Ovis aries: one gene and its partner. The protein of the gene in region 2 interacts with the protein of the main gene of each other region in a pairwise test. Links are inferred from orthologs where the notes say so. Each region holds a gene or a part of one and is shown on either strand. Other genes may lie near its edges. The genes, in order: KIAA0408 and GFAP.

Evidence for each region.
Region 1: the proteins of GFAP (region 2) and KIAA0408 interact in binary tests that used the Homo sapiens proteins (3 or more experiments, as listed by UniProt). The link is inferred for Ovis aries from reciprocal best matches to the Homo sapiens genes GFAP and KIAA0408.

The regions. Positions count from the first base shown.
Region 1 is NC_056061.1:11,123,811-11,127,627, reverse strand, and holds part of KIAA0408 (uncharacterized protein KIAA0408 homolog), read right to left. Parts: intron 2,061-3,817; coding exon 1,701-2,060; intron 1,613-1,700; coding exon 1,533-1,612; intron 1-1,532.
Region 2 is NC_056064.1:44,354,497-44,358,251, forward strand, and holds part of GFAP (glial fibrillary acidic protein), read right to left. Parts: intron 2,701-3,755; coding exon 2,575-2,700; intron 2,415-2,574; coding exon 2,194-2,414; intron 1,414-2,193; coding exon 1,370-1,413; intron 1,016-1,369; coding exon 896-1,015; intron 1-895.

The DNA of each region.
Region 1 (3,817 bases), on a different chromosome or scaffold from region 2:
TAAATGTAGAGAAATAAATAATTCAGAATATTTCAGCAGAACATCATTATAAAATTAAAACACCACATTGTTAAATTTGACACAGGGTTGGAAGAAGCACAAGCTGGAATCAAGATTGCTGGGAGAAATATCAATAACCTCAGATATGCAGATGACACCACCCTTATGGCAGAAAGTGAAGAGGAGCTAATAAGCCTCTTGATGAAAGTGAAAGAGGAGAGTGAAAAAGTTGGCTTAAAGCTCAACATTCAGAAAAGTAAGATCATGGCATCCGGTCCCATAACCTCATGGGAAATAGATGGGGAAACAGTGGAAACAGTGTCAGACTTTATTTTGGGGGGCTCCAAAATCACTGCAGATGGTGACTGCAGCCATGAAATTAAAAGACGCTTACTCCTTGGAAGGAAAGTTATGACCAACTTAGATAGCATATTGATAAGTAGAGACATTATTTTGCCAACAAAGGTCAGTCTAGTCAAGGCTATGGTTTTTCCAGTAGCCATGTATGGATATGAGAGTTGGACTGTGAAGAAAGCTGAGCGACCAAGAATTGATGTTTTTGAACTGTGGTGTTGGAGAAGACTCTTGAGAGTCCCTTGGACTACAAGGAGATCCAACCAGTCCATTCTAAAGGAGATCAGCCCTGGGTGTTCTTTGGAAGGAATGACGCTAAAGCTGAAACTCCAGTACTTTGGCCATCTCATGCAAAGAGTTGACTCATTGGAAAAGACCCTGATGCTGGGAGAGATTGGGGGCAGGAGGAAAAGGGGACGACAGAGGATGAGATGGCTGGATGGCATCACGGACTCGATGAACATGAGTTTGAGTGAACTCCAGGAGCTGGTGATGGACAGGGAGGCCTGGCGTGCTGCAATTCATGGGGTCACAAAGAGTCAGAGATGACTGAGCGACTGAACTGAACTGAACTGAAAGATGTATTCAACTAGGTTAACCCAGCATACTGTTCCACTGGCCAAATACTCAAAACAAAAAGAATGCCATTGTATACACTTGTTAATTTACTGTTTATTATGGTGAGTGTTGGGGTTTTCCAGGTGGCTCAGTGGGAAGGAATCCACCTGCCAATGCAGAAGGCACAGGAGACACGGGTTTGATCCCTGGGTCGGGAAGATCCCCTGGAGGAGGGTGTGGGAACCCACTCCAGTATTCTTGCCTGGAGAATCCCATGGACAGAGGAGCCTGGTGGGCTATACAGTTCCTAGGGCCGCAAAGAATCAGACACGACTGAGTGACTGAGCACAATGGCAAGCATAACTAAGCTAAACATCAATAAAAAGTGAAGTACACCTAACAGTCAAATTATACAGAAAACCAGGAGATTTACTTTAAGAATTAATGATCAAAGAAATGTACAATTTAAACTTTTATCTCCTAAAATAGCAGATTTTAGTAACATTACTAATTTTTGCTAACAAAGTGTTAAATGTGAAAGGTAATTTGGACTCATTAACTTAAAACAATATCCGTCTTGATTTTTCAACATAAAAATCATCATAGATGTACCAGCCTACCTTCTGTGGTTAGACCGCTTTCGAATTTCCTCTTGAAAGTTGCATAACTCTTCACTAACTTTGGCAAGTTCTTCAAGAGCCTTTATACATATAAGCAATAGCATGTTAGCCCTTTGAAATGTAAATATTTCTTTAGAAACAGTCCAAGGCAAATCCCGTCTTACTTACTGTGTTGAGGGCTCCAGAGCAGCTCTTGTTCTCTGCCTCAGAAGTCCTCCAGTCAGGCCGGGCCCCAGGTTCTTTATGGTTGTCTCTGGCTTCAGAATCCATATACCCTACTTTTGATTTTTTGATTGTTTTTTGTTCCTTGCACACTTGATTTCTTTCCCTGAGTAAACTCTGCTCTGTTTTATCTTTTTTCCCCAGAATGTCCCTGGGATGTATCCCTGTAATTTTACATTGTCCTGAATTGGGGTAATCTGCAGAAGATTCCATTTTATCTCCAACGGCCTTCTCACAATCAAAATCAATGACCTTAGCACGTTCACTCATGTTGATTTTCCTCCGACGCTTTACTTCATGGCAGAGCTATAAGGAAAACAAAGATAAAAATTTCCCCCTAACCTACTTTCTCAATAGTTTTGATCCTAAACACAGTGTTCTGAGTTTTCTTGGCCATATTACTATATAGTGGGTCTTCCCAGGTGGCACTCATGGTAAAGAACCCACTTGCCATTGCAGAAATATAAGAGACTTGGGTTTGATCCCTAAGTCAGGAAGATTCCTTGGAGAAGGAAATGGCAACCCACTCCAGTATTCTTGCCTAAAGAATCCCATGGATGGGGAGCCTGGAGAACTATAGTCCCTAGGGTCAGACATGACTTAAGCTACTTAGCACGCATGCATACATAGACTGCTCCAGGGCACTAATGCTAATGCTTCCAAATCATGCTTCTAAAATCTGGATTAGCTGGAGCAAACTTTTGATGAACCATAAAGACTACATGTAGTAGGGCAAAGAAGGTAATTTCTATTTTTCTGAGTACAAATCAATTCATTCAAAAATGACAGAAACCTGCGTTTATATATAGATGTCATAATGATACAGAAGCACTGTTAACAAAATTGGAAGGACCTCGATCAATTACTGGCTGCTGCTGCTGCTGCTAAGTTGCTTCAGTTGTGTCCGACTCTGTGCGACCCCATAGACGGCAGCCCGCCAGGCTCCCCCGATCCTGGGATTCTCCAGGCAAGAATACTGGAGTGGGTTGCCATTTCCTTCTCCAGTGCATGAAAGTGAAAAGTGAAAGTGAAGTCGTTCAGTCATGTCCAACTCCTGGCGACCCCATGGACTGATGCCTACCAGGCTCCTCCATCCATGGGATCTTCCAGGCAAGAGTACTGGAATGGGTTGCCATTGCCTCCTCCCAATTACTGGCAAGGTGCTCTAATTTAACCAACATTAAGGCCATATTTAAAAAATACATGATCCTACTTGTAAGTCAACATTGAACTGTCTAAATGACTGACAATCTCACATAGTAACTCAGCTCATTCTGTCCCTTAAGTAGTTATTTCATCATCAAAAGATGTTTCCTTAGGAGGTTACGTGGGTGAGGGGTAGGTAATTATCAGACTTGTTTTTTTTTTTTTTTTAACTTCGAAGGCTATATACATTCAAAAAAAGTTTCTTCCTTTGTCCTAATTAAAACAAGTGTGAGCCTGTCCTATGTAATACAATTGAACTCTAAGGCTTTGATCATCTATTAGTTTATTAATTGCCCCAAATTAGTTCTTGAGGATTTAGTTTAACCTGCAGGCAATTAGTGACTTTCTCTTCAGGCTTGAGTTCTGGGAAAGCTTGTCAAATTCCAAAGACTTAAAACAAATGACTCTACATTTTACAGTCACATCCTATATCTGCATGAGATCTATTAATCAAAGAATATAATAACAGATTAATTTCTGCTCAGTGTTTACGCAAATCTCAGAGAGAAGCACTAGAATATCGTTAATGCCTGAAGGATATGCAGTGCATTTATTGCCCTAGTCATAAATTTGTCATTGGATGAAGTCAGGATAGCATCAAATTGCCATCATGAATCAACCATTTTGGCTCCTGTAAAATTATCTGTACTGAACTGCTGTGGGCATTATAATTTTGGCCGACCTTGAGGGGCATAATAAGAAGCAACCCTCAAAAGCACCAGGCTAAATCTAAGGATGTTCTTGGTGGCACTGTCCTCTTTTAGAGGAGTCATGGGTGAAAACAAATTTGCTTCAATGTAAAATTAGGGACCAAAGTACTATTTCTGGAAAATTAGTCTGCTTTTGTTTCCTGAATA
Region 2 (3,755 bases):
GGTAAGTTAATTTACCTCTTCCAACCTCAGTGTCCTCATCTGCAAAATGGGGATACTGCTGCCTACTTCTCTAGGTCGAAGTAGTGAGTTAACTGAAACAATGTGTGTAAAACAATGGGCACGTATTCATGTTCCGTACACATGGGTCCCTCTCCCGTCCCTCTTCCCTTTTCCTGCCTCTCTCTGCCACTTCTCTAGGACCCTTTTCTGTCTGGCATGTGGCAGTATTGCCTCTACCTGGTCTGCTGGTTAACTCTTCTGATACTGAACTAAGCCCTCGGACATGCATAGCTAGTGTTCCTAAATTTCTAGTCCAGAAGAATTATTTTTTCCCTCAGCTGAGAATTATTTGAGGGCCACATACAAGTAAGAAGCAATTTATTCCCCCCTGCAGAGAGAAAAATGTAACATGTCACACTCACTAATGTTTAATATTAAGAGCAGGGGACATAAAACTTTATTCACTCCAAGAGCAGCAGTCTAGAGGGAAATAATCCTCTGGGCTGAATCAGCCCTGAGCTGAACAACCGAGCCTCGGGGACAGAGGAATCAGGCCAAGAGCCTGGCTGCCAGGCACCGTGAGACTCTAGGGGCCCTCCTGGTGATGGGGAAGAGGTGAGGCAGAAGCTGGTGTTTGCTCAGAGGCCCAGAGCATCTGAGCTGAGTACCCGAGGACTTAGCACCTTGAACACTGGCCAACTCTACTACTTTAATGTACATTTACCCTGTGCCAGGTCCTGGACTGGGCGCTGAGATTGCTGGGGAAATGACACAGGGTTGGCCCTTTAGGGAAACCTGGGAGGAGGGAGCTCAAGAAGATGGGGAAAGTGGGCTTGGTGAGCTTGCTCCCTATTAAGGTGAAAAAAGCACCATGTCTAAAAGGCAGGCAGCTAACCGAGAGCCGGCGGGGCTCCATCTACAACCTGGTGAGCCTGAATTGGTATAACTTGTATTGTGAGGCTTTTGAGATGTCTTGTGACCTTGTGACTTTCCCCTTCTTTGGTGCTTTTGCCCCCTGTAGTGACAAGCAGTTAAAAAAAAACACACAAACATCAAACACTCAGCTGGACAGGGATCTGCAGACAGGTGAGAGGTTAAGACCCTCACTCAGTTCTGCAGTGGAATGGGGAGTAGGCATGGGAGGAGGGACAAAGGGCAGAGCAGGACAGGAGTGGCTGCAAGCCCCACCTGGAATGCTCTGGAATGGTGTGTTCTGGCTGGAAGTTCTGCCATGAATATTGAAGGTCCCCACAGAGAGCACTGGGCCCCTCTGCCCTGGTCCTCGGGCTCAGACCAGAAGAGCAACCCACAGGCCTGGGGAAGGGGGCGGGAATCCAACACTCTGCCCACAAAACCCTGTTCTACTGACCTCGGATCTGCAGGTTGGAGAAGGTCTGAACAGGAATGGTGATGCTGAAAGACAGCAGAAGGAGAGGGGTGACCAGCCTGCCAGAGGACACTCCCAGGCCAGATCCTGGTCCAAGGTCACCATAATAGCTTCGAGGCCCTCTTCCTTGCCAGGAAAGGCGGACCTCCATCTCTTAGCTTCTCCAGCAGCCAACACACTCCCCGCGCTGTAAGAGCTCTGGGGGAACACCTCCACTCAAAAGAGAGTGAGTGCTCTGAGGATGACAGAGGGGAGGGGAGAGCAGTGAAGAGAGTTCCCAGGAGGCAGAGGAGATTGGTCAGCAGAAAAGAAGTCCAGTCTTTGTTGGGAGGGTGGGGAGTGAGCCTTTTAGTTTGGAAGATAACCCAAGTCCTTACCCTAGGATCTGATCAACATGGGCTGAATTGAATCCATCCATTCATTCATCAGGCATTTATGAATACCAACTGTGTGTTAGGTGAGCACTGTGCTGGGCGCTGGGATAGGAGGGGGCTGGTCACGAGGCTGAATAAGACAGTCCCTGATGGGGCTTCCCAGATGGCGCAGTGGTAAAGAACACACCTGCCAAAGCAGGAGACACAAAGAGACGTGGGTTCTATCCCTGGGTCGGGAAGACCCGCTGGAGAAGGAAATGGCAACTCACTCCAGTATTCTTGCCTGGGAAATCCCATGGATATAGGAGCCTGACGGGCTACCATCTATGGGAGTCGCAAAGAGTTGGACATGTCCGAGCACACATGTATTCGTGAAGGGAGCAAGGCGACTCTGGGGCGGGGCAGTAGGGCAGGCGGCCGGTCTGGGCTCACCGGTTCTCCTCGCCCTCCAGCAGCTTCCTGTAGGTGGCGATCTCGATGTCCAGGGCCAGTTTGACGTTGAGCAGATCCTGGTATTCCTGCAGGTGGCGCGCCATCTCGTCCTTGAGGCTCTGCCCCTCTTCCTCCAGCCGGGCCAGCGCCTCCTGGTAACTCGCCGCCTCCCGCGCGTGGCGCTCCTCTTGCTCGCGCATCTGCCGCTCCAGGGACTCGTTCTGTGGGTGGAGCCGGACCGTTCCCCGAGGCCCCGCCCCAAGAAACTTTTCAGAGCTCCGCCCCGAGCCAGTCCTTCAGCGTCTGCTAGGGCTGTAGGTCCCAGGTTCCCGGCTCGCTCACCCGTACCCCTCCTCCGCCTGCGGCCCCGCCCCTGCTCACCGTGCCGCGCAAGGACTCCAGGTCGCAGGTCAAGGCCTGCAGCTGCCGTCGGTAGTCGTTGGCCTCATGCTTGGCCTGGCGGAGCAGCTCCGCGTTGCGGGCGGCGGCGTCGTTCAGGTCCGCGAACTAGATGAGGAGAGGGCTTTATGCTGGAAGGCGGTCTGGGGCCGCATATCGCGGGAGCTTAGTGGGCTCGGGGGGTTGGTACGCGGTCTGGAGGATCAGGGAGATGGGCCGGACGGTACGGCTGTTTTCCAGCCCACCCCACGCCACTGGCACTGGGTGGGATTATTCACAGTCACCCGTGGCCCATGGACACAGACACAGACGACATTGCTACTTCTCTAGCATCTAGCTCAGTGCCTGATGAGGGAACGCGTGAATGAGCAGAGGGTGTCACAGAGCCCAGACTCTCCAGTAGCTCCATCCTCGGGACTGAATCCTGTCCTCCTAGGTCACACACAGGGAGCTCTGGTGAGCAGAGACCAGGTTCTAATAACCCTCTCTCCTTCAGCCTGCTCTGAATCCCTCATGGTTCCATCACGCCTTAACCTGCTCAGAACCATCCCTGACTTCTGCCACTTACACTCCTCAGCTCCATGCCCTGGGCCAGGATCTCCGGGCCCCCACTTTTCTGTGCTTTATGGCCTCTACTCAGGCTGTGTCCTGCATGCCCTTCCTGAATGCCCTTTCTCTCTTCTCTGTATGTTCGTAGGCTGCCAGTCCCGCCTGGCCCCACTGCCCTCCCATGAAATCTGTCCTGCTTCCGCGTTGCGTGTAAACCCTGCCCTGCTGCGTTCTTCACAGACATCAAGCTGAGTGACATCACATCCCCCTGGTCAGACGTGTCTCTGTATGCAGGGCAGAGCCTGGCATGCAGCAGATACTCAGTAACCCAGGATGCAGATGGCAGAAGCATCAAGAATGTGGGCTTGGGACTTCCCTGGCAGTCCAGTGGTGAAGGCTCCACCCTTCCAATGGGCGAGGCGTGGGTTTGATCCCTGGTCAAGGAACTAACATCCCACATGCTTAGAGGCATGACCAAGAAAGCCCCCCAGATAAACAGTTAAAAAAAAAGATAAGAATACAGGCTCTTAAGTGAGACAGCTAGGGTTAGAAATCCAGCTCTATTGCTTAGGAGCTGTGTGAATTTGGCCAAATTGGTTAACCTCTCTGGACTT